Anolis sagrei: one gene and its partners. The protein of the gene in region 1 interacts with the protein of each later gene in a biochemical or structural test. Links are inferred from orthologs where the notes say so. Each region holds a gene or a part of one and is shown in the gene's direction. Other genes may lie near its edges. The genes, in order: HSPB1, MAPKAPK3, CS and MAPKAPK5.

Region 1 (7,247 bases):
AAAGCCGTACAGTCTCAAGTGACTTTGGAGAACTTTGTGGGATTCGGGGAAAGCTTTCACCAGTCGGGTGAGAAGATCCGAAGCAACGTTGGATGCCCAAAAGCGTCCTGTTCCTGCAAGGCTTCAAAACGAGCCACGAGTGGGATGTAGCAGCTTGAAAGGCTGCATCTGTCGGGGTCTAGTGTCCAAATGGAGGAAAGTAATATAGCCATGGCTTGAGATATATGACTGAAGACGAGCCAAGATTGGGATGCAGCAGCTCAGAAGGTCCATGCAATTCCAGGCTGCATCCATCGGAGTCTAAATGGAGGAAAGTAATATTGTCAAAGGCTTTCATGGCCAGAATCACTGGTTTGTTGTGTGTTTTCAGGGCTGTATGGCCTAGTTCCAGAAGAATTCTCTCCTGATGTTTCACCTGCATCTGTGACAGGCATCCTCAGAGGTTGTGAGGTCCTCACAACCTCTGAGGATGCCTGCCATAGATGAGCCATAGACCTCACAAGATGCAGGAGAAACATCAGGAGAGAATGCTTCTGGAACATGGCCATGCAGCCCAGAAAACACACAACAAACCAATATAGCTATAGCTTGACGATAATAATATACCTAGCGAAAAGGGCCAATGCAATTCTAGGCTGCATCAGTAAGGATTGAGTGTCCAGATACTCTGTAGACGAGGATACAGTGGAGCCATTGATTCGAATGGCACCGGAATATGAGGACAAATGGAGCCATGGATTTGAATGGCACCGGAATATGAGGACAGTCTCAATTCTTGGAGGTTTTTAAGCAGAGGCTGGATGGCCATCTGTCCGGAGGGATCAAACGGTGTCGTTTGTGGTAGAAGGGGGTTGGACTGGATGGCCTTTGGGGGCCTCTCCCATCAGGGACATTTCTTTCAGTCTTCCGAGCATTTGTTTATTCGTCGCCGTCTCTGCAAATGATAGCCAGTCGGAACAACAACAACGTTCTCTCTCTCTCTATCTATCTATCTCTCCTTCTTTTATTTCTCTCTCCTTTCTTCCGGCCGCGACTTCAGTTGTAGATTCCCATGAGCTGATTCAATTATAATAAAATATACAAGATCGATCGATTGTAATGGGATCTTTGTCGGGGCCGTGTCCTCTGTTTTTGGTGAGACACTCTGTCACTACGTTTGAAAACAGGGCGGTTGGATCGAATGTCCCATGACTGACAGGTCGGAAAGTACACATAGCTACAAAGGATAGACTGGATGGCCTTTGGGGTCCCTTCTAATCCATCTCAGTCTTGCTTTTTTGAAGGAAAATTAGAGTCCCGGCCAAGAATGTTCCCGCAGAGCCTGGACCTTCAGAAGGATGATGACCTCAGAGAAGAGGCAGCCGGTCCCTTTGGCGGACAGTGACTCACGGCCGGAGCAAGAGAGATCCCGCTCTCCGCTTCCCAAAAACACCAAGGATAGTCCCTCTGGTGCCCCGCTCTCTCCTCCTCTTTCCCCTCGCTCGGTCTGTGCCACGTTCTGCTTGGCACCTCCCAAAAGGTCTTTCAATCCTTGGAGGTGAACTGGTCTGCTCTGGACTGACATTTGGGCGAGCTCATGGGAGTCTCTTAGGCTGTCCTTCAACAGAGGTTGGGGGGGCATCTTTCGGGAGTGCTTTAAGTATAGGGCAGAATGGGGCTGGACTGGATGATCCTCAGGGAACCCTTCCAGCTCCATAATTCTATGCAATGGTCCCAACAATGGGTGGGATTTGGTGGTCTCTTCCTGCCTGGCGGAATGGGGCTGGACTAGATAACCCTCGGGGGTCCCTTCCATTTCTGTAATTCTCTGCAATGGTCCCAACAATGGGAGAGATTTGGTGGTCTCTTCTCATTTGTATACAATAGTCCCACGATGGCCATCTTTCAGGAATGATTTAGGTGTAGAGCATAATGAGACTGGACTAGATGACTCCCGGGGGTCCCTTCCAGCTCTGTAATTCTCTGCAATAGTTCCAACAATGGGAGGGATTTGGTGGTCTCTTCTTGCCCGGCAGAATAGGGGTGGACTGGATGACCCTCAGGGAACCCTTCCAGCTTTGTAATTCTATGCAATGGTCCCAGCAATGGGAGAGATTTGGTGGTCTCATTTGTATACAATGGTCCCACGATGGCCATCTTTCAGGGGTGCTTTAGGTGTAGAGTATAATGAGACTGGACTAGATGACTCCCGGGGGTCCCTTCCAGCTCTGGAATTCTCTGCAATAGTTCCAACAATGGGAGGGATTTGGTGGTCTCTTCCTGCCTGGCGGAATGGGGCTGGACTGGATGACCCTCGAGGGTCCCTTCCAGCTCTGGAATTCTATGCAATGGTTCCAACAGTGGGAGGGATCTGGTGGTCTCTTCTTCTTCGGCAGAATGAGGCTGGATTGGATGACCCTCAGGGGTCCCCTCCAGGTCTGTAATCCTATGCAGTGGTCCCACAGTGGCCATCTTTTGGGAGGGCTTTAGTGGTCTCTTCACATTGTATGCAATGGTCCCATAATGACCATATTTCAAGAGTACTTAGAGCATAATGGGGCTGGACTGGATGACCCTTGGGGTCCCTTCCAGATCTGTAATTCTATGCAATTGTCCCCACAATGGCCATCTTTGGGAATGAGGTGGGACTAGATGACCCTTGGGGATCCCTTCCAGATATGTAATTCTATGCAATGGTTCCAACAATGGGAGGGATTTGGTGGTCTCTTCCTGCCTGGCTGAATGGGGCTGGACTACATGCCCCTCGAGGGTCCCTTCCAGCTTTGGAATCCTATGCAATAGTCCAACAGTGGCCATCTTTTGGTCTCTTCTCATTGTATGCAATGGTCCCAACGCCAAGAGTGCTTTAGGTGTAGAGCATAATGGGGCTGGACTGGATGACCCTTGGGGGTCCCTTCCAAATATGTAATTCTATGCAATGGTCTCCACAATGGCCATCTTTGGGAGTGCTTTAGGTGTAGGCATTTTGAGGCTGGACTAGATGACCCTCAGGGGTTCCCTCCAGCTCTATAATTCTATGCAACGGTCCCAACAATTGGTGGGATTTGGTGGTCTCTTCCTGCCTAGCGGAATGGGGCTGGACTACATGACCCTCAAGGGTCCCTTCCAGCTCTGGAATCCCATGCAATGGTCCAATGGTGGTCATCTTTTGGAAGGCTTTAGTGGTCTCTTCTCATTGTATGCAATGATCCCACAATGACCATCCTTCGGGAGTACTTTAGGTGTAGAGCTGAATGGGGCTGGACTGGATGACCCTTGGGGGCCCCTTCCAGAGATGTAATTCTATGCAATGGTCCCACAATGGACATCTTTCGGGAGTGCTTTAGTTGTAGGGCTGAAACAGGCTGGGCTAGATGACCCTCAGGGTCCCTTCAGCTCTGTAATGCTATGCACAGTGGCCATCGTTTGGGAGTGCTTTCGTGGTCTCTTCTCATTGTATGCAATGGTCCCACAATGGCCATCTTTTGAGAGTGCTTTAGGTGTAGAGCTGAATCGGGCTGGACTGGATGACCCTTGGGAGTCCCTTCCAGCTCTGGAATTCTATGCAATGGTCCCAACAATGGCCATCTTTTGGGAAGGATTTGGTGGTCTCCTCTCATTGTATGCAGTGGCTGCACAATGGCCATCTTTTGGGAAGGATTTGGTGGTCTCCTCTCATTGTATGCAGTGGCTGCACATTGGCCATCTTTTGGGAAGGATTTGGTGGTCTCTTCTCATTGTATGCAGTGGCTGCACAATGGCCATCTTTTGGGAAGGATTTGGTGGTCTCTTCCCATTGTATGCAGTGGTTGCACATTGGCCATCTTTTGGGAAGGCTTTAGTGGTCTCTTCTCATTGTATGCAATGGTCGTCTTTTAGGGGAGCATAATGGGGGTGGACTGGATGACCCTTGGGGGACCCTTCCAGCTCTGTAATTCTAAGCAATGGTCCCAACAATGGCCATCTTTTGGGAAGGATTTGGTGGTCTCTTCCCATTGTATGCAATGATCCCACAACGTCCATCTTTTCAGAGCGCTTTGTTGTATGCAATGGTCCTGCAATGTCCATCTTTTCAGGATGGGGCTGGACTAGATGGCCCTCGGGGTCCCCGTTCCCGCTCCGTATGCCAGGGCCCGTCCCGCAGTCCAAAAAAGGCCTTTCCCTCCCGCTCCATTCCTGGGAGCGCCATTTCCATTAATAGACAAGGAGACATTCTTCTCCCAAAATAGCCCTTTGCCTCTGGATGAGAAGGGCCAGCTGGCCCGGCCGGACAAAGGAGCGTTGGCCATGTCGGAGCGCCAGGTGCCCTTCACCTTCCTCCGCAGCCCCAGCTGGGAGCCCTTCCGGGACTGGTACCGAGGCGGCCGCCTCTTCGACCAGGCCTTCGGGATGCCCATGGTCCCCGATGACTGGTATAGGTGGCCCGCCGGCAGCAGCAGCGGATGGCCGGGCTACGTCCGCCCCATGATCCAGAGCCCCGAGCCGGCCACTCCGGCCAGCGCTGGCCCTCCGGGGGCCCATCCGGCCTACAGCCGGGCCCTCAGCCGGCAGCTCAGCAGCGGCGTCTCCGAGATCCGGCAGACCCCCGAAGGGTGGAAGGTGGCCCTCGACGTCAACCACTTCGCCCCTGAGGAGCTCCTGGTCAAGACCAAGGACGGCGTGGTGGAGATCACCGGTAAGGATGGAAGGAAAGGGGCCCAGGAGGGCATCCAGCCCCACCCTCGGCCAAGGCAGTGATTGAATAGGGGGCTGGTGGGTCAGGGAGTCCTAGAGTTAGAAGGGGAGCCAAGGGCCCCCCAGTCCAACCTTCTGTATGTATGTATATGTGCCGATCTTCCCATCCATCCATCTTAGAATCCTGAAGTTGGAAGGGACTTCAAGGGTCATCCAGTCCAACTACCTGTATGTGTATATCTTCCCATCTATCTATCTTCCCATGTATCTATCACCCTATCTACCTACCCACCCATCCCTCTATCCCTCTATCCCTCTATCCCTCTATCCCTCTATCTATCTATCTATCTATCTATCTATCTATCTCTATCTATCCATCCATCCATTCATCCATCCATCCATCCATCCATCCATCCATCCATCCATCCATCCATCGCTCTATCTATCTATTGGTCTATCTATTGATCCATTGATCCATTGATCCATCAATACATCAATCCATCCACCATCTATCTATCTATCTATCTATCTATCTCTATCTATCCATCCATCCATTCATCCATCCATCCATCCATCCATCCATCCATCGCTCTATCTATCTATTGGTCTATCTATTGATCCATTGATCCATTGATCCATCAATACATCAATCCATCCACCATCTATCTATCTATCTATCTATCTATCTATCTATCTATCTATCTATCAATCAATCAAAGAATCCTAGTTGGAAGGAACCCCAAGGGCCATCCAGTCCAACTTTGTATGTGTATGTTTGTATCTTCGCATGTATCTATCATCCTATCTATCTACTTATCTATCTACCTACCCACTGACCCACCCAACCACTTTATCTATCCCTCTGTCTATCCCTCTATCCATCCATCCATTCATCCATCTATCTAGCCATCCATCCATCCATCCATCCATCCACCTACCTACGTACCCACTGACCCACCTGCCACTTATCTATTTATCTGTCTATCCATCCACCCATCCATCATAAAATCGTGACGTTGGAAGAGACTCCAAGGGCCATCCAGTCCAACCTTCTGCATCTAGATATCTTTCTATCCATCCACCTAGCTACTAACCTATCTATCCAACCCTCTGTATGTACGTATACATCTATCTATCTATCTATCTATCTAGCCATCCATCTATCATAGAATCCAACTAGAGTCCAACTACTTGTATGTGTATATCTTCCCATCTATCTTCTTATGTATCTATCATCCTATCTACCTACTCACCCATCCCTCTATCTATCTGTCTGTCTATCCCTCCATCCATCCATCTATCTATCTATCTGTCTGTCTGTCTGTCTGTCCGTCTATCCATCTATCCATCCATCCATTCATCTATCTGTTTATCCCTCTATCTGTCTATCTGTCCGTCCATCCGTCCATCCATCCATCCATCCCTCTGTCTATCTATCTATCTATCTATCTATCTATCTATCTATGTCTATTTATCTATCTATGAGAGAGGCAAACTGACACATACATACATACAGGGAATTGGATGGGATGGCCCTTAGGGTCTCTTCCAATGCTGGGATGGATGGATGGATGGATGGATGGATAGATAGATAGATAGATAGATAGATAGATAGATAGATAGGGTAGTCTTTGGGGTCTTTTCAAACATTAGGTTTTGATTGATTGATTGATAAATTATGTTTAATAGTAATACTAGTATAGATTTATTTGCATCCTGTTTTTACTATGTTTTATATTATTTTATTTTGTAGTATTATAAATTATTGTTACTTTACATTATAATTGCTTTATACGATTGCGATTGCATTAATACAGTCACAATATAACAACAATAAACTAAAGCAACAATAATATAAAAATATATAATAATATAATGTTATATTATAAAATAATATATATTAAAATAATATGTAATAAGCCAATAATAAAATGTAAGAATAGGTCTGTGTCCAAATGTGGGGTTTGTTTACGTTCTCTCCTTCCGTCTCTTTCAGGAAAACACGAAGAACGACAAGATGAGCATGGATTTATTTCCAGGTGTTTCACCAGGAAATACACGTAAGTTGCTGGGCGGGTTTCTGGTCAGTTCCTTCCCAATGGAGGGACCCGTTTCCTTTGATCCTTTTACCTGGGGAGTTGAAACAACAACAGGTCCCATCATCCCCAGACAGTGCAGAAGGAGGCCCATCCTGAGCCCTGCAATGCCTTAATGGCATGTCTCTTTGCTGCCATCCAGTGGCCAACTCGGGAATTGCACCCTTTTAGTGCAGCCTAGCAGTAGAGGGCTCCTGCTGAGTCCACTTTGTCGCCATCCTGTGGCCAGATGGAAAATGGCACCTTTTGTTATATTTTCTCCAAATAGGGAAATAGGGAGGAAACTCAGTTCTTGTGGGTTTTTTCGGGCTATATGGCCATGTTCTAGAGGCATTTCTCCTGACGTTTCGCCTGCATCTATGGCAAGCATCCTCAACTGCTGTGCTCTCCCTCCCTCTTGGTCTTTCCTTCCTTCTTCTGTCCCTCCCCTCTCCTTCTTCCATCCCTTCCTTCCTTCTTTTCCTCTGTCCATCGTTCCTTCCTCTCTTACTTCCCTTC
Region 2 (7,697 bases), on another chromosome or scaffold:
CCTGTCCCGAAAGCTTGGTCCCAAAAGCCAAATTTTTACCATCCTTCTAAAGAACAGGAGAGAGGGGGCTGACCTGATCTCACCAAGAAAGGAGTTCCATAGCTGGGGAGCAATCACCAAGAAGACCCTGTCTCTCATCCCCACCAATCATGCCTGTGACAATGGTAGGACAGAACGCAGGGCCTTCCTGGAGGATCTTAATCTCCGCGATGGTTCAAAGGGAGAGATGCGTTCAGACAGGTAATTTGGGCTGGGGCCGTTTAGTAGCAATACATCATAATTTCTCTAAAATTGAATTACACCCACGGGGCTGAAAGTGGTCTCCACCTTTTGAGTTATGCATAAGCAAGGTTTATTGATTAGTCCATTGACCGTATCAACATTAACTTTTGAGTTATGGAAAATCCTCCCTGGATATTTTGTAATAGCAGCTTTTAAGATGAATTACTGGCTGGATCAATTGATTTACACAGTGGAATTAATTACTTCAAACCTGCAAGTTCCTTAGCTATCTAAGTAGCATACGTTCATTTGTCCAGTGGTCAGTTACATGTATGCAGGGTGTGTGTGTGTGTATATATATGTATGTACATATTGCTGACATTTGTTCTTTGTCACTATTTTTAACCCTCATCCTCAGTTTTTCAAGTAATTTCCTAAAAGCTTCAGCTACTGGATTCCAAACTGATCTCTCTGCAATGCCCCAGGTGAAATTCCTTATAACTCCATTCTTCTTCTATAATGCTGGGTGGGAGGTGCAGGGAGAGTTAGCAAAGATTGTTAGATTATATTTCTGGGATAGAGTCTGTATTTCTCAGTAAAAAACCAAACAAACCACAAAGCAAACATAGCCTCCATCAGAAATTCACTCCAGAATCACCCAGGATTGAAACAGCTATCAAGGGATCAATTACCTTTACATTTAATTGATATAAACAATGATTGTAATGCATATCATCAAATCTCTCTGTCTTTTAATATAAGTATTTTAATACCTTGTTTTATCAATGTGTTTTGACTGCAATGCATCCCGCCTCCAGCCATGAAGAGACCTGAGTAACAAATGAAATTGATTGCATAGCCCAACAACAACAAAAGCTTCTTGGTGTCTTGATTTTCACGTCTGATCCTGGGGTTATTTAGGGATGTGATTCAGAAAATTGCATTTAATAAACTGCAACACCACTAGTTTTTTTAAGATATGGTTATCATGATTTTCTATGAGCAGATGAAGACTGGTACATGGCATATGTTCTGTTTCTCAAAAATAGTGCTGATAGGGGGAAACTGGTGCCAGTTTTTAAAAATCCCTGGTGCCATTTTTTAAAAATCAGCAGGTCAAATAGACCCAGAAACAAGGCTGATAGTTGAGGCACCAAAATGTGTTTTTGCCTGTGTTGTATTTCTCGGATAGATTGTCTTTCCTAGCAAAAACAACAAGCACTTCCATCTGATCTTCAGAACTGACCTCTGGAATCACTTGGAATTGAAATGGCTATCAATAGATCGGTTACATTTGCATTTATTGATATACATGATTTTATTGATATATATGATTTGAATGTCTGTCATTAAATCTGTCTCATAATCTAGATATTTCCATGGCCTTATGGTTTAGCTATGTATTTTGATTTTGCTGCACCACACCTCCAGTCTTGAGAGCAAATAGCAAATAAAAGTATTATTATTATTATTATTATTAGATATACAACAAGATTAGTACACAGCAAACAAGATCACTATGCTGGCTTTTGTATTCGACCAAGTGACTAGGACTATGTGATGTTTCGGCGAATAAGTAATTTTGAAATAAGAAGAATGAACATGGAATGGCTAGACTATGCTGCTGGACAATGATTTTAACAGGACAACATTGGTGATCATATGTTTTTAAATGGTTTATATATGCTTTTTATAATGTTGTGTTGTATATTTTTAATGGATTTTTATGAATATATGGCATTAAATGTGCTAATTCTGTGAGCTGCCTTGAGTCGCCGCAAGGCTGAGAAAGGCGGACTACAAATGCTGTAAATAAATATATAAATAAATAAATAATGTGTGCAGATCCAAGTAGGATCTTATTATTTATTATTACACTATGTAACAAAATTTGAAAAAAAGTGTTGTTTTGAAAGCATTATCTCCTGTTCAATTGCGCAGGACTTACTTAGAAAGTAGTTGTTATACTCCAGAAACTTCTGCCAAAAACTATGTTGAGACTCATTGGTTCCCAACCTGTGAGTCGTGAGACCTAAAATAAGGTCCATGGCTCTAGGTTATTAAATATGTTTTTCTGTAAGTGAGCAGATGGTGACTGTTGGCGTATGTTCTGTATCAGAAATTAGAGCTGATGTGGTCTATCCAATGTAGTTTTCTGATTCAGCTCCCCAAATAACCAAACCAAATCTAAAGTTGACCAAAAACAGATTCGTAACCCTTTTGGTACTAATGTTGGAGAGCAGTTCCTGGTCAAGTGGTCCCTGGTCCAAGTGGTCCCTGGTCAAGTGGTCCTTGGTGAAAGTGGTTTCTGGTCAAGTGGTCCCCGGTCAAGTGGTCCTTGGTGAAAGTGGTCCCTGGTCAAGTGGTCCCCGGTCAAAGTGATCCCTGGTCAAGTGGTCCTGGGTGAAAGTGCTCCCTGGTCAAGTGGTCCTTGCTCAAAGTGGTCCCTGGTCAAGTGGCCCCCAGTCAAAGTGGTCCCTGGTCAAAGTGGTCCCTGGTCAAAGTGGCCCCCAGTCAAAGTGGTCCCTGGTCCAAGTGGTCCCTGGTCAAAGTGGTCCCTGGTCAAAGTGGTCCCTGGTCCAAGTGGTCCCTGGCCAAGTAGTCCTTGGTCAAAGTAGTCCCTGGTCAAAGTGGTCCTTGATCAAAGTGGTCCCTGGTCAAAACAAGGCTGGGAACCACTGCTCTATGAGATACTCATTGCAAAACGATAGCAAAAGATTTTTGCAGTTTAATAAACATTCCCCGTGTTTTTATGACAGAACCAATTAGGAAACGACCATTTATAACTCAAGAACAAAAACCGTGTTTCATAGTGTTGTTGTTATGCTTATCAAACACCAACAGGGAGTAAAATACTCTGGGATCGAGCACGGTTTGTTGTCCTGGACGCAGCATCCCAGCATCGTTTGAAGGCTTTCATTTGGGGGGAAACGAAAGGTGCCTCTGGGCGTTGCAAAAGCGCCAGGCTCGTGACGTCAAGCTCTGGAGAAGGGCGGCAACGCGGGCCGTGCTGGACCGACCTTCTCCTCCTCTTGTGGGAAGGAAGAGGAGGGCGCCATGAAGGCGAAGAGGCCGCCCTCGCCCGCAGCCTGGCGACCCGAAAGGCCGGTCCAGCTTGCCCCTTTCGTGCCGCCGCCGCCGCCGCCGCGTCCTCCTTCGGCCCACCAGCAGGGGCTGCCCTGGCACCGTCTCTCTCCCAAGGAGAAAGGCAGACAGAGCGGAGGCGAGTCAGCTTCGCCTCGGAGGAACCAAGCGGCGGGGCCTCCGTTCACCTCCGCGGCCGCGCGCTCGCCCTCCTTTGTCCCCCGAGGGCTCCGGCCCCGCCCTCAGGGAGACAAAGGAGGGCGAGCGCGCAGCCGCGCAGGTGAAGGGAGGCCCCGCCGCTTGGTTCCTCCGAGGAAAGGAAAGGGGGAGGCGGGGACTCAGAGGGGAGCCCCCAAGCAGGTGCTCCTCTGTCGGAACGGTTTAGGGAACTTCCCAGAAAGAGACCCGTGCCCTTCTCTTCAAGGGCTTCTCCCCGCCAGACGGGTTGATGAGCTGGCGCCACATTTTAGTTCTCTGTTATTGTAGGTGAGAATAGGCTCGTGTTGTGGATCCGGTATATTTTTTTCTTTCGACCCCCCTCCAAAACCCTAAAGGGCAGCCACCCTCAAACTGCAGCCCTCCAGCTGTTTGGGCCTTCAACTCCCAGAATTCCTGACGACTGAACAGACTGGCTAGGGCTTCTGGGAGCTGGAGGGCCGCAGTTTGAGGATGTCTGCTCAAGGGGTTGCGAGCCCTGCTCAGGACACAGAATCATAGAGTTGGAAGAGACCTCGTGGGCCGTCCAGTCCAACCCCCTGCCAAGAAGCAGGAAAATCGCGTTCAAAGTACCCCTAACAGATGGCCATCCCGCCCCTGCTTAAAAGCCTCCATAGAAGGAGCCTCCACCACACTTCGGGGCAGAGAGTTCCACTGCTGAACAGCTCTCACAGTTAGGAAGTTCTTCCTAATGTTCAGGTGGAATCTCCTTTCCCGTAGGTGCCTCCTTCCTGCCTTAGGTAAACGAGGCCCATCGATACCTCCATACGGTGCACTGAACGGCATTAGGTAGGTCTGTAGTGCGTTATATGGCAGTGCAGGTGAGGCCAGTGCCCATCTACACTGGCTAGGGAAGTCCGTTTGAAACTGTGGCATGGCAAACAGGGTTTCGCTGTGCGGATGAGGATGAGGATGATCCAGTTTGGGCCCCGAATGGTGATTACTACACAAGCCCCCCGATTAAGGACTGTCTCTTTTCGCGCGCTTTTGGGGAGTTTGCCTCCCGGCGCCGCAGCTTGGAAGCCAGCTTTGGAGTGCAGGCGAGGCTCGGCCTCCTCCGCCTTGGCGGCCAGGTGTCCCTGCGGAGCCCGGGCTCCCTCCCTCCCTCATGCTCTCTCCCTCCCTCCCCCTCATGCCCCTCCCCCTCCCGCCTCTGCCTGGCCCGGGGTTGGGCCGTCCGGGGCGGGGAGTCACATGATGGAGCCTGTCCTCGGCGGTTCGCGAAGAGCCGGCTGCCTGGCGGAGGAGAGAGGCTTCTGATGGCCGCCGCCGCCGCCCCCTCCCTTGCTTGACCCTGGACTGAGGGAGGCCACGGCAACACAGCGACCACCTGTGAGCAGCAGCAGCAGCAGGAGGAGCATGCGCCCCAGGCAGGCAGGCAGGCAGGCAGGTAACCAGCCCTTCCCGAAGCGTCGCCGGCGCAGTGGCTCCCCGCACACACGGCCACCCAGCCACCCGCGCGTTCTCCCTTCAACACACACACACAGGAGCTGTTCCCGAGGGTGCCCTTCCCTGCCCCACATACAAACCCAGTGGCTCCCCGGGCCTCCGGCGTGTGGGAGAGACTGGCTTGCTTTTCCTTCAGACCCTGGTATGGTTCCCTTCCTTGAAGGAGCGCCTATTCCTGCCAATGGAGCTTTCTTTGCCAACCAGAACAAGGGGCCACTCCTCCCTCCACAGAATTCTCCCCAGCCTTTGGGCGTTCAACTCCCAGGCAATGTGGCCCACTGTAGGGAATTCTGGGAGCCCAAGCCCAATACACCTAGAACAGGCATGGGCAAACTTTGGCCCTCCAGGTGTTTTGGACTTCAACTCTCACAATTTCTAACAGCCTACTGGCTGTTAAGAATTTTGGGAGTTGAAGTCCAAAACACCCGGAGGGCCAACGTTTGCCCATGCCTGATCTAGAGGAAGAAAAGGTTGGGAATCACTGGTCCAAGATGGTGATGATGGTGTTGATTATATTTATATTTCAGTTTTCTTCTTCTCAATGAGACTCAAAGTGGCTAAAGCAGGCATGGTCAAACTTTGGCCCTCCGGGTGTTTGGACTTCAACTCCCACAATTCGGGAGTTGAAGTCCAAAACACTCAGAGGGCCGAAGTTTGCCCCTGCCTGGGAAAAAGAGACTCAAAACTCAAAAGAGAGCAAAAGTGCCCCATAATTGTATTTTATTTATTTATCTCACATATTTGTATCCCACCCTTCTCACCCTAGAAGGGGACTCAGGGGAGCCTTACAGCAGGTATTGATGCAATGCCAATACAAATAAATAGAAAAATAAATACAATTAAAACCATACAATTAAACAGTAATTATTAAAGCATCGATTAAAATCACATAATCCAGATCGTAGTTCAAGACCTGACCAACTGTCAGTTTCATTAGTCCGTTATCCTTATTGCACTATTTACTGGTTGAATGCTTGGTCCCATAGCCATGTGAACCTGACAATGGAAGCTTATGAACCTGACAATGGAAGCTAAGCATGGAAGAGGTCTCCTAGGTTTTGTGTTGGCCAAGACAGGCAGGCTGAAGGACAGCTTTAGAAATCTGGTTCAGAGCTTTTTGTCCCCTACACCATCCCCACATCTAAAATTTAAAGAGCTCAATCCTCATTTCTCTCCCCAAACAAAGAAGAGACACAGACGGGGCAGGTGTAATTAAAGACAACACCTCTTGTCAAATTATGTACATTATGGAGGAAGTAAGCAATTTACCAAACATGCCACTTGTTTTGCCTGCCTAGATCATTAACAATGAGTTTTGTCTTTAAAGCATATTTCACTATGTTGGTACTGGTTCATCTCCACCAAGAGAGTCATTATGGCCATAAAAGTCTCATGTCCTCCAACTTCAGGGCCCTGTCACTACCTGGCAGATGTACATGTTGGGGAGAGGGGGATCGCTACGTGCTTGCAAGACCCTTTTGGTGTGTTGTTGTTGTTTATCCATTCAGTTGCTTCTGACTCTTTGTGACCTCATGGGCCAGCCCACACCAGAGATCTTTGTCGGCCATGACCACCCCCAGCTCCTTCAAAGTCAAGCCAGTCACTTCAAGAATAATATCCATCCATCTTGCCCATGGTTGGCCCCTCTTCCCTTTTCCTTCCATTTCCCCCAGCATCATTATCTTTTGGTGTACCTCACAGCAAACTCTGACAATCACAAGCTTTGCCATATCTTTTACAACAAACCACATATAGTCCAATTAAAATGGAAGATAGAGGTCAAACGTCCACTGAGGAATTTTTTTCCTGACATTCATTGTAATTAGATCAGTGGTTTCCAACCTTTTTTTTTTTTTTTTTTTTACTAGGGACCACTTTGAACAGGGATGCTCTCCAGCATTAGTACCAAAAGGTTATGAATCAGTTTTTGGTCAACTTTAGATTTGGTTTGGTTTGATACAGATAATTGCATTGGATAGACCACATCATCTCTAGTTTCTGATACAGAACATATGCCATCCAGTTGTTGCCATCTGCTCGCCCACAAAAAACCATATTTAATAAACCTCGGCACTATAAGAGGGTTTCACGAGACCAGTCACTCTCATTGCAGTGTTGTAGTAACTGTGAGGCTACAGGCCATATTTTAGTTCTTGCAGACCACTGGTGGTCCACAGACCACAGGTTGGGAACCACTGAATTAGATATTCCCTGTCCGCCCTCAACCCATTTTTTCAGTTTGTGTAGTGCTCTGAAGCCACATCTCCACGAACCATGTAGCAATACTGTAAACAGGAAACTTTTCTAAGAAAACATGTTTCTTTGGGATTAAATGCAATTCCTAGGCCCTATTAGTTTGGTCCATGAAGTCACAAAGAGTCGGAAACGACTGAATGAATGAACAATAAACAGGCCCTATTAGAGTAAATTCATCAATGGGATTTTTGCAGAAGTCCAAATTCTCATTGAGATGGCAACTGATTTTAGGCCTGTGATCTTAAATTGATTCTACTGGTATGGAACTGATGCTTCTGTTCAGTTGTCCATCGTGATCACTGCTTATCTGTATTGAATCAAGTATGATCAGTAAAGGTACTGAAGCATTCCCTGTGCAGTTGAATATACAAGTAATGGCAGCAGTACATAGTTGGCACTCAAGATAACTGTCAGCAGTAGCATATCGGAACATGTAACAAGATGCCAGACACAGTTATGGATTCAGCTCA
Region 3 (7,955 bases), on another chromosome or scaffold:
TGGATGGGTTTATTCGTTCTTTGAAGACCACCTCCCCTTTTCCAGCTCCTTTAAGTCTGTTCCAAAAACCTCCTTTCCATTTTGGGATGTGCTCGCTACATTCGGTCTGGAAACCCAACGACTGGACAGGCAAAAGAAAACATGAGCAAAGCTTCTTTGTAGACTTTCTTTAGGAAAACAAAAGATGCTGTGTCCCCACTTGACTTTTTGTAAAAGTCTGCAATTATAAAACCTCTCATTTGGAACAGAAGAAACTTCCATTTCAGGACTGCGGTTCATTTTTTTCTACTGCATTGACAATGATTCTGTGACACGTATGTTTTTTTTAAAAAATGCTATTGTCGTTCTGCAGATGAATTAATCTGTATGTTGAGTCTGGAACTAGCCACACAATACATGGATTCCCTCCAAAGTTCACTAAAACTTGAATTATTGAATATTATTAGTTCTACTATTATTCTGCTACTATTTAATCATGACACTAGGCAGGTGATTTCATTTCTCTATGTAACCTCTTGCATAGGAAGAGTATAATAGAAGAAGGCCCCCACGTATTCATTCCAAACAAGGAGCTGCTGTAAAGAAGATCAATCAATGGCATAAGAGTGAAAAGGTTGACTAGCCATGTGGAGGCCCAAAAAGTTGTTGTCCAGTAACTATTTGACATTGTTGGAGCAATAGATAGATTGCGTTACTTCTTGGATATGTTGTGTGGAAAGTCTTCATACAATATTGCAGTGGCCTTCAGGAATTGTTCACTGTGATATGGGAACCTCATATGAACCAGCTAGGCTAGATTGCAAGCCAGTCTGAAACTGTTTTGTTGGGTTCCTTTTGAATCAATGGGCTGACCTTTGGGGAAGTCCAATGTCCATCTTATAGAATTCAAGAAGGTGCTGGTTTGAAGCATCAAGCATTTGGAAAATTAGGGAAAGGTGGGTCAGATTATATTCTTCAAAGGGCTTTTAAAACATTTGATATCTTTTCCTCTTATTTTCAGAATTTTGGATTAAAAGTCTGTCAGTGATGGCAAGAAAATAAATCATGGTGTGATTCACCTGGAGTTGTAAAAATTATTAAGATAATGGATGGGGTGCATTTTGGATACTCAAAATGCAATACATAAATGCAGCATATTACCATGTAACGAGAGAGGTTTTCAAGTACCTTGCAGAGCTGGATTTTCTTACTGCTTTCTTCCATTATGGGCGTGGTGGTGTTTAGATTCAGAAAACATGTATCTTTGAGTGTAGAAGGGCCTGATTGATCCATAGCTGGGAGCCTTAGGACTTAAAATGTTTGGAGGCAGAAAAACAAATGTGGTTAAATTCCCTTTTCTCACCTATTTATCATTAAGTGCCTGGTACAGCCTGGCACTCTCTGCTTCCTCCACCTTATTTTCCCTTCTCCTAAGCCTTGGATTACAACTCTTGCTACCTAAGCATGTTATGCCTTACTATTTTGCTCATGGAATAGTGTAACATATCTGGTTTCTTTTTAATGTAGGTTGTGAAGGAAGATTAGAACAAATCATGATTGCAAATTACTTATTAATAAGAAACCTAAGCACAACATTTAATACATTTGTATAACTACTGTGTTGCTACAAGCATCCCTCCTCTTCTGAATATGCTCATTTCCTTAACAATAATTGAAACAGTGTTCTTTTAAATGTTAGCTCTCAAAATGCTTCAGGACTGCTGCTTTTGGAGTAAATAAGAAAGCTAATGGAAAAAGCCGATAGTGAATGGATGGTAGGGCAGGTTTGGTAGCAAGAAAAAGTGATTTTTTTTGGGCATATTCCTAAAAGTGACCTATTGAGACACAATTGGAAGACTCATAAAATAAAAATCTGAAGAAAGGTGGAGGAGATCCTATATTGTGGGGATAATTCATTGCTGTAGAAGACTAAATTGCTCTTTAAAAGTTTCCAAAATCTTTGGAAACTTCCATTGGTTCAGAATGCACCAGTCAGGATACTGTTTTGTGTTAAATATTCTACTCATGTGATCTCACTATTGTTTCAGCAGCTTCGGAGTCACATGTCTACTCCTGAGCCCAATTCAAAATGCTGGTCTGGATGTAAGGCTATAAATAGCCAAGGACCAGGATAACCTGAGGGCAGCTTCTTTCCATGTTCAGGAATTTCACCTCTACTCTCAGAATCACACTTGATGTGCATTGAAGCTGTGGATAACATACCTTGGAAGAAAAATAAACTTTCAGGGTAAGATTGATTAACTGCAACCTTCCAGATGTTTGCATTGCAACTTCATAACTTCTTCACTTTCGGATATGCTGACAGGGATGAGAACTGAATTAAATTATAGCTGCCACTTTGTTAGAGAAGTAAAATATTACTTTTGAAGTAGTTATTTGCTTTCTCTTTAAGACTGAAGCTGAAATGGGATGACTACCCCTCCCACCCCACTCCACCAAGTATAGAAAGTGTATAAAAACAAAAACACTTGTCTTCCATACAGAAAAAAAAAACGTGTTTCTATAACTGCCTCAAATGAGACAAAGAGTGAATGAAAATGCCATTTGGACAAGGAATGCTGCTAGAGTGACCTGGTTCTGGTTCAGGTTGAGGACTCTGTACTCTTGTCACACATTCGCGGCATGAGGGCCATCGGGACACAGACTACCAGCAGGATATGTGTTTGAGGATTGGCAGGGAATGCCGCATGGGAAGGCACCGGCCCAAATGGCAGAAGACAGAGTTCAATAGTGTGACACTGCCTGTCCAGCTCATAGAATATTGTTCATTGTTTAGTAAATTTTGTGTTGTCACTCTTATTGACATTTTTATTTCTGCTATGCCGAGCAAGGGGTGGGGGTGGGGAGGATCCAGCATTATGTCAACATTAACATAGTGCCCTCAGTGCTGTTCCAAGCTAGAGCAGTGCTAATAGGTATGTTTTGTATTCCCTTTTATAAAGTAGCCCAGTCTCAAGACTTTTGCTGCCATGAGGAAAGAAAGAATGTAATGTCCACTTGAAGTAGAGCAGAATGGAGGGGCCCATTTTCTTACTTCAGAACTGACAATGGGATTATATTCTTCAGAGAGCTACATACCTACAGGATTCGGGGCAGGTTGCATGCCATACACAGCTCTTGAGTGTTTCGGGTGTTTTGCATGAAATGATTAACCTGCAGGCTAAGCAAGGGGCAGTTCCAGCAGCTTTGTATGAAGTGGAGCTAACTTTCTGTGTACCTTCTGTGCGACATTGCAGATATGCCAGGGCATTATTGTACTCTTCCTTTCCAGTAATACCTCCACAGCCCTTCTCCACTACTAAAACAATTTGCTGAGCTATCACTCCTACTAGAGTAGGCTTCCCTGTAATCACTCATTTCAGTGTGGTAAATGGGTCAAAGGATTGCTAGAACAATTCTGTGGGATGCAGCATATTGATGTGACTAATAGTACAAAACATACCTCTGAGACTGTTCAAGTCTGAGCATTTTAAAGTCTTGTTTCTCCATGCAACATACAAAATCACAGTGAATGTACACTAGTAATACAGAGGAAAGTATTACTAGCGTATATACTGGCATTGATCAGGTGTTGGAGGGGTGGCTGCTATCCTGCTTTCTCCTTTGTCCTTTCTCTCGCCTGATACCTTTTCCCTTTCCTTTCAATTTCTTCCCTTTTTCTTCCCCTTCTTCTTTCCTGTATTTTTCTTTCTTTCCTTCTATTCCTTTTCTCTCTCCTTTCTCCAGCCTGCCTCACAATGTCTCCATTGTAACATGGCTCTTTCTTTCCTTCCTTCATTCCCCTCAAAAACTCCCATCTTTCTATCCCAATGACATCAGAGGGCCACTTCACCTAGCAACCGCTTTTGTGTGACAAACAGACAAGACAAAGTGTTATTCAAGGCTTTAATGGCTGGAATCACTGGGTTGCTGTGAGTTCACCCACATCTATGGCAGGCATTCTCAGAGGTTGTGAGATCTGTTGGAAACTACACAAGTGGGGTGTATATATTTGTGGAATGTCTAGGGTGTGACTCGTGTCTGCTTGAAGTAAGTGTGAATGTTGCAATTGGCCATCTTGATTCGCACTGAATGGCCCTGCAGCTTCAAAGCCAGGCTGCTTCCTGCCTGGGGGAATCCTTTGTTGGAAGGTGTTAGCTGGCCCTGATTCCAGACAAGAAACAATCAACTAACACTTCCCAACAAAGGATTCCCCAGGCAGCAACAGATCAGGCTTTGGAGCTGCAAGGCCATTCAATACTACTCCAGGTAGCCAATTGCAACATTCACACCTGCCTCAAGCAGGCAAGATTTCTTTCTTCCACATATATATAAACCCCATTTGCCTTGTTTCCAACAGACCCCCCCCCCTCAACCTCCATAAATGTGGGCGAAACGTCAGGGCAGAATGCTTCTGGAACATAGCCATACAGCTCGGAAAACTCACAGAAACCCAAATATACGTTGACTTTTCTATATACAAATTCACAGAGATGTTTTTCAGGCACTTAGACCCGAAATCCTATTTCTGAATTCTAAAGAGGTTTCATTCAACTCAGTTATTTACTTGGGAACAGGACTGGACCACAAGGATTCCCCAAGGGCTTTTATTTGGAAGGATAGCGTTTCACTATTAGTCCTGAGCTAACAACTCTACACATTTTAGTCATCATAAGCTTTAACAATACTAGAATTGCTATTAAAAGAGGAGGAAAAAAGCCTTCTCGGAGTGTCACTCCCAGAATCCAGCGATGGCATGTGGGCGACCCTTGGAGTGAAGCGGGGCTTTCAGGCACCTGAATTAGACGCCTAACTCCCCCCCCCCCCGCGCGCCTTTAGGGACCCCGCCCTTCCAGTTCCCGCCTGGCCCCGCCCCTCGCGCCACCGCGCCCAATGGCGTGGCCCCTCTTCCGTCAGGGGAAGGGGCGGGGCTATTCAGATGAACCCGAGCGGCTCTGGGAGTGATTGGGGCCTTGGAGGCGCGCTCCGCCTCGCGCTGCCGACGCTGCGAGGAGTGTATCCGGCGCCGTCTGCTCTGTTCTCCCCCTCCCCCTCCTGCTCTGTTCAACCTTGGTCTTCGCAGCCTGCTTCCTTCCTCCCTCTTTCCTTCCTTCCTTCCCCCTCTCTCTTGAGGCGGCCGCTGGACTCTCCTTCCGCGCCAGTCGCCGCTCGCCATGACCTTGTTGACTGCAAGCAGTAGGGCGGCCGCGCGCCTCTTGGGAGCCAAGGTGAGGGTGCCCCACCTTTCCCCCAATATTGGTCTTTTCCTTGTCCGCCCCCCCTCGATTTCCTTTCTTAGAAGAGAATGGAACAGGCCGCTCTTAAAGGGGCCGCGCCCATTAGAGGGTTTCGGCTCATGTTATCTTAAAGGGGTGGGCGCCTCAAGTGGGTTTTTATGGGAGCCTGATAGTGTGGCGGAGTTTATTATTATGTTCATTTATTTATTATTATTAAGGTTGTGCCTTGCATAGGATTGTGTAGCTTTGGGCGCAGCTTCTCATTTGGCAGGAGGAGCTCTATGCAGTGGTTGGGCCGAGCCAGGCGGGTACATGTGTATTGTACGTGTGAACACGGCCTTGTCCTTGGGCCGGGCCTGTCTTGTGCCTCCTATTTTTCTTCTTCTAGAATCGTTTCAATTGCCTTTTCTAATCCTCCTCTGCCTGTTCTTTCCCAAGTAAAATTCTGCGGAAAGAGGAACAGTTGCAAAGGGTGTATCTATACTGCAGAATTAACGCAGTTTGAGATCACCTTGGGCCCTTTCAAACAGGCCCTATATCCCACGATCTGATCTCAGGTTTTCTGTATAGCCCAGTGGGTATTCATATAATCCAGTTTAATGCAGAAAACCTGGGATCAGATTCTAGGATATATATAGGGCAGTGGTTCTCAACCTGTGGGTCCCCAGATGTTTTGGCCTTCAACTCCCAGAAATCCTAACAGCTGGTCAACTGGCTGGGACTTCTGGGAGTTGTAGGCCGAAACATCTGGGGGCACACAGATTGAGAACCACTGATGTAGGGCCTGTTTGTCAGGGCCCAAGTAAATCTCAAACTGCATTAATTCCCTTAGGAACTTAATAAAATCCCACATTGTCTGTTTTGAACTGGAATATATGGCAGTGTGGATTCAGATAACCCAGTTCAAAGCAGATATTGTGGGGTTTTCTGCCTTCATATTTAGGGTTATATGGCTGTGTTATAGGGCCCCTTGACTGTCATGGCTCAAGAATGTAGAATCCTGGGAATTATAGTTTGTTAAGGCCCCACCACTCTTTGACAAGGAAGGCTAAAAACTTTGTAAACCGTGGCAGTTAAAGTAGTGCCAATCTGCATTAATTTTACAATGTAGATGCAGCCTAAGTTTTTTTTAATGCTGAAAGGAGGGGTTGGGAGCTGGGGCAATAGTCAAACTTCAGAAGCGAGGGTGTGTGCTGCTCTGCCACCCAGTGCAACCAGGACCCTGTTTTGTGGTGTTTTAGGAAGTTTGGGGTTCCTGTGGTAGCTAGGCCTTAGCAGGGCCACACTGACCTTTTTTCCTTTTGACCTCTAAATGGGAAGGCCCTGTCTTTCTCTGGGAGGGTCAGTTTACATATAATATAGAGACAAGTTTGGTATTTAGGGAAAGGTGCATCCTGGGTATCTGGTTCCTTTTTTTAGCCTCTGATTGAATCAGCTAAACTCTTGCCTTAGTGGAAACAGTCGGTGGGACATTGTATGCCCCTTTGCTTCCCTTTTGTTTTCCTTTCCAGTCCCTTCTCTTACTACCCAGCCTGGTGTCTTGAGGAAGCGGTATGGTGCCTTCGTAGTAGGGTGCTATAGTAGGATGACCTGTCTTTCCTTGCTACAGAGCTGGGAAGAGGCTTTGGCTGCATCTACATTGTAGAAATAATGCAGATTGACACTATGTTCACTACCATGACTGAGTTCTGTGGAATCATAGGAGTTGTAGTTTCGCGAGAGACCACAACTCTTTGGAGGAGAAGATAAAGGACTTAGTAAAACTACAACTCCAGTGGTTCTATAACATTGAACAGTGGAAGTAAAAGTGCTGTCAAACTGCATTGATTTGACAGTGTAATAATAATAATAATTTATTTTTAACCCACCCTCTCTCTCCAAAGGGACTCAGGACAGCTTCCAAACATAAAACTGGCAAATATTCAATGCCATCAAATCAACATTAATACGTTTATACCTACAGTTAAAACAAAATAAAATACGTTGTCTGATAATATGAATCGATGAGTCAAACATCGTGAACAAACAATCAGGCAGTTAAAACTGTATACGATATGAATATATAGCTCTACAATAAAATACACCCATTGTTCAGCCTGTGCTGCTTGCTCCATAGTTTGGAGTGGGAATGGAGTATTCCATCACATTAGGCTTGTTACTATGTGTGTCAGGAGGAACTTGAAAAACGGCAAGTTGCTTCTGCTGGAAGTGGTCATAAAAATATCTCGAGACACAAAATCTGTGCAAATCAATTGCTCTTGACTGGCCTGTATCCCAGGGCGATGACACACTGTGGGGTAAAGTGGGCCTCCAAGGATGTTGCCGTGTTGTCTGACTTGCTTGTAAAATAGCTTCTGCTTCCTTATTGTTCTTGTTCTCGTAACTGCAGACTGGCAGTATCGAAATTGGGGAATGTGTCAGAGACATTTAACTCCACCCACCCCATACCCTGCAGCAAGTAGCAGCAGTAGTGGGAAGCATGTTCACTAAAATGGAGATTCTCCTGTTTCCGTTTAGGCCCTTGTGCTTTGTGAATGGCTCTCTGTCTGCCTCCTGCTGATTATTCAGCAGCCACTTTGCTGCTATCTTGCTGGGAAATCTGCCCATGACCTCTCCATAGGGCAAAGGGCCTCATGACAATTTTATTTGGACTCCAGACCCATGAAAGTTCCTTAACATATCGATTGCAAATGCCGGGTACCAAAAGCGTTTATTTCTAGCTTATTTGCTTTTCCCCAT
Region 4 (7,409 bases), on another chromosome or scaffold:
AACAACACTGGCCAACACATCTTTTGGTACCTTCAATGTTAGCCCTGTTATCTGTGACAATTGCTTGCACCAGTTTCCCCCCATCAGTTCTAGTTTTTGAGGGACAGAATATGTGTCATCTAGCAGTCTTCATGTTTGTCCTTAGAAAACCATGGTAACTAAGAAACTAGAGCCGATGTCATTTTCTGAATCAGGGCCCCAAAGAACCCTGGGACTAGGCCTGAAAACCAAGACACCAAGAATTTTGTGTTGTTATGTAGTTGAAATAGCATCATTAATGTATAACAGGGGTATCTTGGTCTGCTTTAGGTTGCTTTAGTAACCAGTCAGGCAAAGCTAAAAAGTTATACATCACAAACCAACGCTGCTTTTGGAGAAATGTGAGCTTTTTAACAAAAAAAGGGTTTGTTTGGAATAGGTAATGAGCAAAAAATGACATTACTCCACAGGCGTAACACCTAACCTGGGATACTTGAACAGGTGCTTGCCACTCTATACCGGTTTGCAGTCACTCATTTCATGCAACATGTCCCTCAAAAGCACATAGACCCAAAACATCTTTCTTGTTTTGGAAACTCTTTCCAAAAAAAGTATGCATTCTTAGCAGGATTAAAGATTCCAGAGAAGGGTGACAAGAGAAACATTTCTGTCAGGTTTTCCCCCTCTGTGCTTCCACACACGAGACAGAACATTTTCATTTAAGGGGGAATTTGTAACTCTGATTCAACCGTAATTGTATTTCTTCTGCAACATATTCCCCCAGTCTTCAAATGAGGGACATAAGTATTAGCAGTATGTCTTTTTGGCATACAGAGGATTCAAATTACAGGAGATTCCACCTGAACATTAGGAAGAACTTCCTAACTGTAAGAGCTATTCAGCAGTGGAACTCTCTGCCTCGGAGTCTGCTGGAAGCTCCTTTCTTGGAAACTTTTAAACAGAGGCTGGATGGCCATCTGACAGGGATACTTTGATTGTGCTTGTCCTGCATGGCAGAGGGTTGGACTAGATGGATAATGTGGTCTCTTCCAGCTCTTTACGGACTGCCTTTGGTGGACACAGGGAAAGGTTTTGGCAAATATACCAACTAAGTCTGCTGCAGTCGGCAGAGCTTGGCACAGTCTGGGAGCAAGTTGTAAAAAGAAAGAGATTGTTCTCCCTCAAGCAAGTATCACAATGAAAGACCGAGAGGGACTTCTACACAGATCCACAGAGGCAAAGCAGGCGGCCTGCATTTTGTCTTCCACCTCACATCCATTTCTGAAGAAAAAGGCTTATTTGATGTACCATATTTGGGTCTGATGTGCCATCGAATCTAACTCACAGCTCAATTTTCAAAACCCTGAAACCAAAAAAAGTATTGGCTGGTGAATGTAATGTCATTAGTTGATGCCTGCTTAGAATTTCTTCTTTAAAAAGAAATGTATTAGAAGACCAAAGCTTCCAGCGATGGAAAAGAAAACCTTGGGGTGCACCTATGCTATAGAACAGGCATCCTCAAACTGTGGCCCTCCAGCTGTTTGGGCCTTCAACTCCCAGAATTCCTGACAACTGAACAAGATCGTTAGGACTTCTGGGAGTTGGAGGCCCAAACAGCCGGAGGGCCACAGTTTGAGGATGCCTGATATAGAATGAATCCACTTTAATTGCCTTGCTTCAATGCTATGGAATCTACAAGGCTTTGAGCTTTCTCTGCTAAAGAACACTGATGCCTGACCACAGCATTCACCCATGGCCATTAAATAAGAGATGACGTCCCTCAAAGAGCTCCAGAAGCACTTTCCCTTTCTGTGTTGCTGTGCATTTTTCAGGCTGTATGGCCATGTTCCAGTAGCACTTTCATGATGTTTTGCCTGCATTTGTGCCTGGCATCTTCAGAGGTTTGTTCAAAGGTCTGTGGGAATGAAGCAAGTGGGGTGTATATATGTGTGTGTACTGTCCAGGGTCGGGGAAAGAACCCTTCTCTGTTTGAAGCAAGTGTGAATGCTGCAGTTGGCAAGCTTGATTAGCATTGAGTAGCCTTACAGCTGCAAAGTCAATCAGTGTTGTTGCCTGGAGGCATCCTTTGTTTGGGAAGTGTTGGCTGGCACTTGATTGTTTGCTTTCTGGAGTTCCCCTGTTTTCTAAGTGGCGTTCTTTATTTACTGTCTTAATTCTGGTATTTTTAAATACTGGCAACCAGATTTTGTACATTTTCATGGTCTCCTCCTTTTTGTTGAAATTGTCCACATGCTTGTGGATTTCAAAGGCTTCTCTGTGTAGCCTGACATAATGGTTGTCTGAGCGGTTCCAAATTTCTGTGTTAGCAAATAATATTCTGTTCGTTCATCAATTGCTTTGCTATAGCTGAGTTCTCTTCAGTAGAACTATTAGCTTGCATGGGAGAAAATGGGATTTGGAACTCTGTGTCTATCATAGAATAATAGAGTTGGAAGAGACCACATGGGCCAACCCCGTTCTATGCAGGAAAAGCACATTCAAAGCATCCCTGACAGATGGTCATCCAGCCTCTGTTTAAAAGTTTCCAAGGAAGAAGTTTCCACCGGACTCCGAGGCAGAGTTCCACTGTTGAAAAGCTCGTATGGTCAGGAAGTTCTAATAGTTCTAATAGTCAGGTGGAATCGCCTTTCCTGTTGTTTGAAGCCATTGCTCAGAGTCCTAGTTTCAAGAGCAGCAGAAAGCAGGCCTGATACCTCTTCCTTATGACCTTTCACATATTTATACTTGGCTCTCATGTCTTCTCTCAAACCTCTCTTCTGCAAGCTAAACAGACCTGGTTCTTCAAGACACTCCTCATAGGGATTATTCATGGTCTCCAGACCTTTGATCCTTTTAGTTGCCCTCTTCCTCTGGATGCCTTCTAGCTTAGGGTCAATATACCTTTTGAACCGTGGTGCCCACAATTGGACACAGTATTCCAGGGAAAGAGATCTAACCAAAGCAGAATACAAGGACACCATGACTTCCCTCGATCTAGGCAATAGATTCCATTCTGCTTTCTACAATATTAGTATTATATAGTGCTATATTGTATGATACCACTATGTTGTTGTTTATTCGTTCAGTTGCTTCCGATTCTTTGTGACCTCATGGACCAGAGCTCCCTGTCGGCCATCACCACCCCCAGCTCCTTCAGAGTCAAGCCAGTCACTTCAAGGATACCATCCATCCATCTTGTCCTTGGGTGGCTCCTCTTCCTTTTTCCTTCCATTTTCCACAGAATCATTGTCTTCTCTAAGCTTTCCTGTCTTCTCATGGTGTGGCCAAAGTACTTCATCTTTATCACTAATATCCTTCCCTCCAATGAGCAGTTGGGCTTTATTTCCTGAAGTATGGAAATAAAGTCCATACTGGTTGGATCTTCTCGTGGTCCAAGGCACTCTCAGAACTTTCCTCCAACATCTCAGTTCAAAAGCATCTATCTTCCTTTGCTTAGACTTCCTTATGGTCCAGCTCTCACATCCATAGGTTACTATCGGAAATATCATTGCTTTAATTATGCTTTAACTACCACTATATTGCAACATTATTAGTAATATTAAAGATAAAGGTTTCCCTTGATATTAAGTCGTCGTGTTTGACTCGAGGGGGTGGTGCTCATCTCTCTTTCTAGGCCAAAGAGCCAGCATTGTCCCATAGACACCTCCTATGTCATGAGGCCAGCATGACTGCATGGAGTGCCATTATCTTCCCGCAGAAGCAGTACTTATTGATCTACTCACATTTGCATGTTTTCAAACTGCTAGGTTGGCAGAAGCTGGGGCTGACAGCGGGAGCTCACCCTGCTCCCCAAATTAGTAATATTACATGTAATATATTATATGATTATTATATATTATATTGTACTATATTATTATACCACAATATATAATACACTACCACTCTTATTATACTATTAGTACAATATATTGTACTATATCAGAAGTTGTAATACATATAATGTATTAAAACATTATTAATATTATATATAATACAGGAGTATTCTTACATTACAATGTTATTAAAGTTGGTTTTATAGGTTATTGTTGTATGTATTGTTGATTCGTATGGTTTTAAAATATTGTGAGCTGCTTTGGGCCCCGCTCTGGGCGAAAAGCGGGAGACAAATAAAATTATATGATGATGATGATGATGTCTATATATTAGTAGATTGTCTATCTTTCGGGCCACGTCTCCTCCACCTCGTCTCCCGGCGTCGAATGTCCGCTCCCCTTCTGCCACGACAGGCGCTTCACGGCGTTCTCCTCAGAAAGAAGGCGGGCTCCCGATCTCGCGAGATTTCCAAAGGGAGGGGAGAGAATAAAATAAAGAATCTCCCTCCAAGCAAAAGAGGCGGGGCGTAGTCGGGAAAGCCCCGCCTCCTTCTCCCCTTCCTCCACGCCCCGCCCCGCCCCTTTCGTCCTCCCCTCAGATAACCCTTCTCGGCCGCCGCGTGACGCCCTCAAGGAAGCGACGCGCGGACAGGAAGGACCCGAAGGAAAGGGGAGGGAGATTAGGGAGGGGGCCTGGCACTGCGGGCGTCGCGCGGCGAAAGGGGCGTCTACTTCAGTCGCCTGCCTTTTGGGGGACTTCATTCTTCTTTGCTGCGCCGGTGATGCTCCTCGGGCGGGAGGAGAGTTCGGCCGGGAAAGGCGAGGCGGAGGAGGGAGCAGGAGCCCGGCGGGGATGAGGCCTCGGCAGCCCCAAGGAGGCGGGGGCCAGGGCCGAGGAGGAGGCGGAGGAGGAGGAGGAGGAGGAGGGAGAGGGAACAGCGGCGAGGACCACAGCCACCTCGGAAGGCGGCCCCGGCCTCGCCCGGCCTGAAGCAGCCCAGGAGGAAGAGGATGTCGGAGGAGCCCGAGGCGGAGAGGATGATTAAGGTGAGCAAGCTCCCTAGCAAGAGCGCCTCTGAGCATACCAAGGCCAGCCTTCGCCACGCCCCCTCCCCTCGGGTGTGGAGTTGGGCAAAGTCTGCCATTGGGGGGTCCTCGATCACCAGGAGACCCCAAGGGCCATCCAGCCCAACCCCTTCTGCCACAAAGGAGGACACCATCCAAGCCCCCTTGGCAGATAGCCAGACAGCCTCTGCTTCATCATAATAATGATAATAATCCTAGCAGCATAGAATCCTATATCTGGAGGAGACCCCAAGGGCCATCCAGCCCAACCCCCTCTGCCACAAAGGAGGACACCATCCAAGCCCCCTTGGCAGATAGCCAGACAGCCTCTGCTTCATCATAATAATGATAATAATCCTAGCAGCATAGAATCCTATATCTGGCGGAGTCCCCAAGGGCCATCCAACCCAACCCCTTCTGCCACAAAGGAGGGCACCACCTAAGCCCCCTTGGCAGATAGCCAAGCAGCCTCTGCTTCATCATAATAATGATAACAATCCTAGCAGCATAGAATCCTATAGCTGGTGGGACCCCTAGAGCCATCCAGCCCAACCCTTTCTGCCACAAAGGAGGGCACCATCCAAGCTCCCCCAGCAGACAACCAGACAGCCTCTGCTTCACCATAATAATGATAATAATAATAATCCTACCAACATAAATCCTATATCTGGGGGAGACTCCAAAGGCCATCCAGCTGAACTCCCACAAAGGACCGCACCATCCAAGTCCTCCCCCCTCCGGCAGACAACCAGACAGCCTCTGCTTCATCATAATAATGATAATAATAATCACTTTATTTCTGTATCCCCCCTCCATCTCCCAGAAGGGACTCGGATGGCTTACATGGAGACAATCCCAATCAACATAGTTAAAGTATAAGACATTAAAATACATAAAACAACCTCATAAAATAATATAAAACAAACAACAACAACCAATGGCCTGAGTAATAAACCGTTTCAGGGATAATAATGATAATCATAATCATAGCAGCATAGAAACCTATATCTGGAGGAGACCCCAAGGGCCATCCAGCCCAACCCCTTCTGCCACAAAGGAGGGCATCATCCACACCCTCCTGACAGACAGCCATACAGCCTCTGCTCAAAACCCCCCAGAGAAAGAGACCCCCATTATCATCCGCAAACGTTGTTATTGTTATTATAGAATTCTAGTTGGAATTCCAGGGGCCATCCAGTGCAACCCCTCTTCGGCCAGGCAGGAAGACACAATCAGAGCCTTCCCAACATATGACCCTTCAGCCTTTGCTAAAATCAAACTCTCCGTAGGTTAAAATCACAGACCCCTTCATCATCATTACTAAAAAAGATGATGAGAACAGAATTCTAGAGTTGGAAGGGACTCCCACAAGGCCACTTGGTCGAGCCCCCTTCTGCCAGACAGGGCACAATCAAAACCCTCCCAACAGAGGGCCATGCAACCTCTGTTGAAAAGCCTCTAGAGACTATGGCTGGATCTCCACTGCCATATAATCCAGTTCAATCAGATAATCTGGATTTTATATGGCAGTGTAAATGGGGTCTACAAGGCAATCCATTCCACTGTTGAACAGCTCTGAGGTTCAGGTGGGATCTCCTTTGCTGTCATTTGAACCCATGGCTCTGTTGAGTCCTGGTCTCCAGAGCAGCAAAAAAAGGGAAGGGACCTCGGAATCCTCAGGAGGTGCCTGTGCTGTGGGATGGGTGCTGTTTGACCCCGCATGAACTGCCCTGGCTCAAGGCTATGGGTGCCTTTGGTGGGGCAGAGAATGCCAGAGACCTTGCCCCTCCTATGATTCCATAGCGTTGAGCCTTGGCAGTTCAAGCGGGGTCAGACCTCATCCATTCCACAGTGTAGATTCATTTCAGCCACATTCGGATGGTGGCCACTTTCCCCCTCTTGAACTAGATACAAAACAGAGGCCAGCTTGGGCAAGACTAGCAGCTTTCTCGATGGCTTGTGGTCCTAAAAATCGTGTTTGGTAGCTCCAAAGGCAACCTTGTTGGAAGGCATCCTGCAGCTAAGCTGAAGCAGCCTCGCCTCGCTGTGGGCCTGTTGCAGCTTGATTTCTAACTGACTTGGCATTTGCAGGCCAAAGCTCCTTAAACCCGTGCCAAAGAGCAAAATGTTTGTGCTCAACAAAACACCCCAAAGTTGTAATATTAGTACTGCCAATCATGGTGAAGCCTCTGAACTCTACAAAAGGGTTCCAGACTCACTTTAAGACTCACTGTCTCCTCTTGGAGATGCTTCCTGGGTTCAAGTTCCAAGCCAAAATGTAAAGCAGGAATACCCCCACCTTTATGTCATTTTGATTTATGGCGGCTCCATCAACAGGTTTTCTTGGCAAGGGAGCTTGTACTTGGCATCCTCTGTGGCTAAAAGAGTGAGTGGCCCAAGGGTTTCCGCAACTGGGCTTTGAACCCCAATCTTGTATAGACCCAGCCCTCAAATGATTACTCCACTGGCCCCTGTATTAAGATGCAAACAGAACTGAGTCGTTTGGACAATAAGCAGCCATCTTGCATATCC

The links.
Region 2: of the proteins of HSPB1 (region 1) and MAPKAPK3, one has a biochemical effect on the other in vitro, tested with the Homo sapiens proteins (2 studies listed by BioGRID and IntAct). The link is inferred for Anolis sagrei from reciprocal best matches to the Homo sapiens genes HSPB1 and MAPKAPK3.
Region 3: the proteins of HSPB1 (region 1) and CS form a complex in vitro, tested with the Homo sapiens proteins (2 studies listed by BioGRID). The link is inferred for Anolis sagrei from reciprocal best matches to the Homo sapiens genes HSPB1 and CS.
Region 4: of the proteins of HSPB1 (region 1) and MAPKAPK5, one has a biochemical effect on the other in vitro, tested with the Homo sapiens proteins (4 studies listed by BioGRID and IntAct). The link is inferred for Anolis sagrei from reciprocal best matches to the Homo sapiens genes HSPB1 and MAPKAPK5.

What each region holds. Positions count from the first base shown.
Region 1 is NC_090031.1:32,940,600-32,947,846, reverse strand, and holds the start of HSPB1 (heat shock protein beta-1), read left to right. Parts: upstream 1-4,241; 5' UTR 4,242-4,266; coding exon 4,267-4,654; intron 4,655-6,649; coding exon 6,650-6,713; intron 6,714-7,247. UniProt on the Homo sapiens protein: Small heat shock protein which functions as a molecular chaperone probably maintaining denatured proteins in a folding-competent state. Plays a role in stress resistance and actin organization.
Region 2 is NC_090022.1:71,480,682-71,488,378, reverse strand, and holds the start of MAPKAPK3 (MAP kinase-activated protein kinase 3), read left to right. Parts: upstream 1-4,690; 5' UTR 4,691-4,904; exon of another isoform or gene 4,905-4,912; intron 4,913-7,697. UniProt on the Homo sapiens protein: Stress-activated serine/threonine-protein kinase involved in cytokines production, endocytosis, cell migration, chromatin remodeling and transcriptional regulation.
Region 3 is NC_090022.1:138,358,023-138,365,977, forward strand, and holds the start of CS (citrate synthase, mitochondrial), read left to right. Parts: upstream 1-4,942; 5' UTR 4,943-5,153; coding exon 5,154-5,207; intron 5,208-7,955. UniProt on the Homo sapiens protein: Key enzyme of the Krebs tricarboxylic acid cycle which catalyzes the synthesis of citrate from acetyl coenzyme A and oxaloacetate.
Region 4 is NC_090034.1:30,717,435-30,724,843, reverse strand, and holds the start of MAPKAPK5 (MAP kinase-activated protein kinase 5), read left to right. Parts: upstream 1-4,391; 5' UTR 4,392-4,823; coding exon 4,824-4,859; intron 4,860-7,409. UniProt on the Homo sapiens protein: Tumor suppressor serine/threonine-protein kinase involved in mTORC1 signaling and post-transcriptional regulation. Phosphorylates FOXO3, ERK3/MAPK6, ERK4/MAPK4, HSP27/HSPB1, p53/TP53 and RHEB.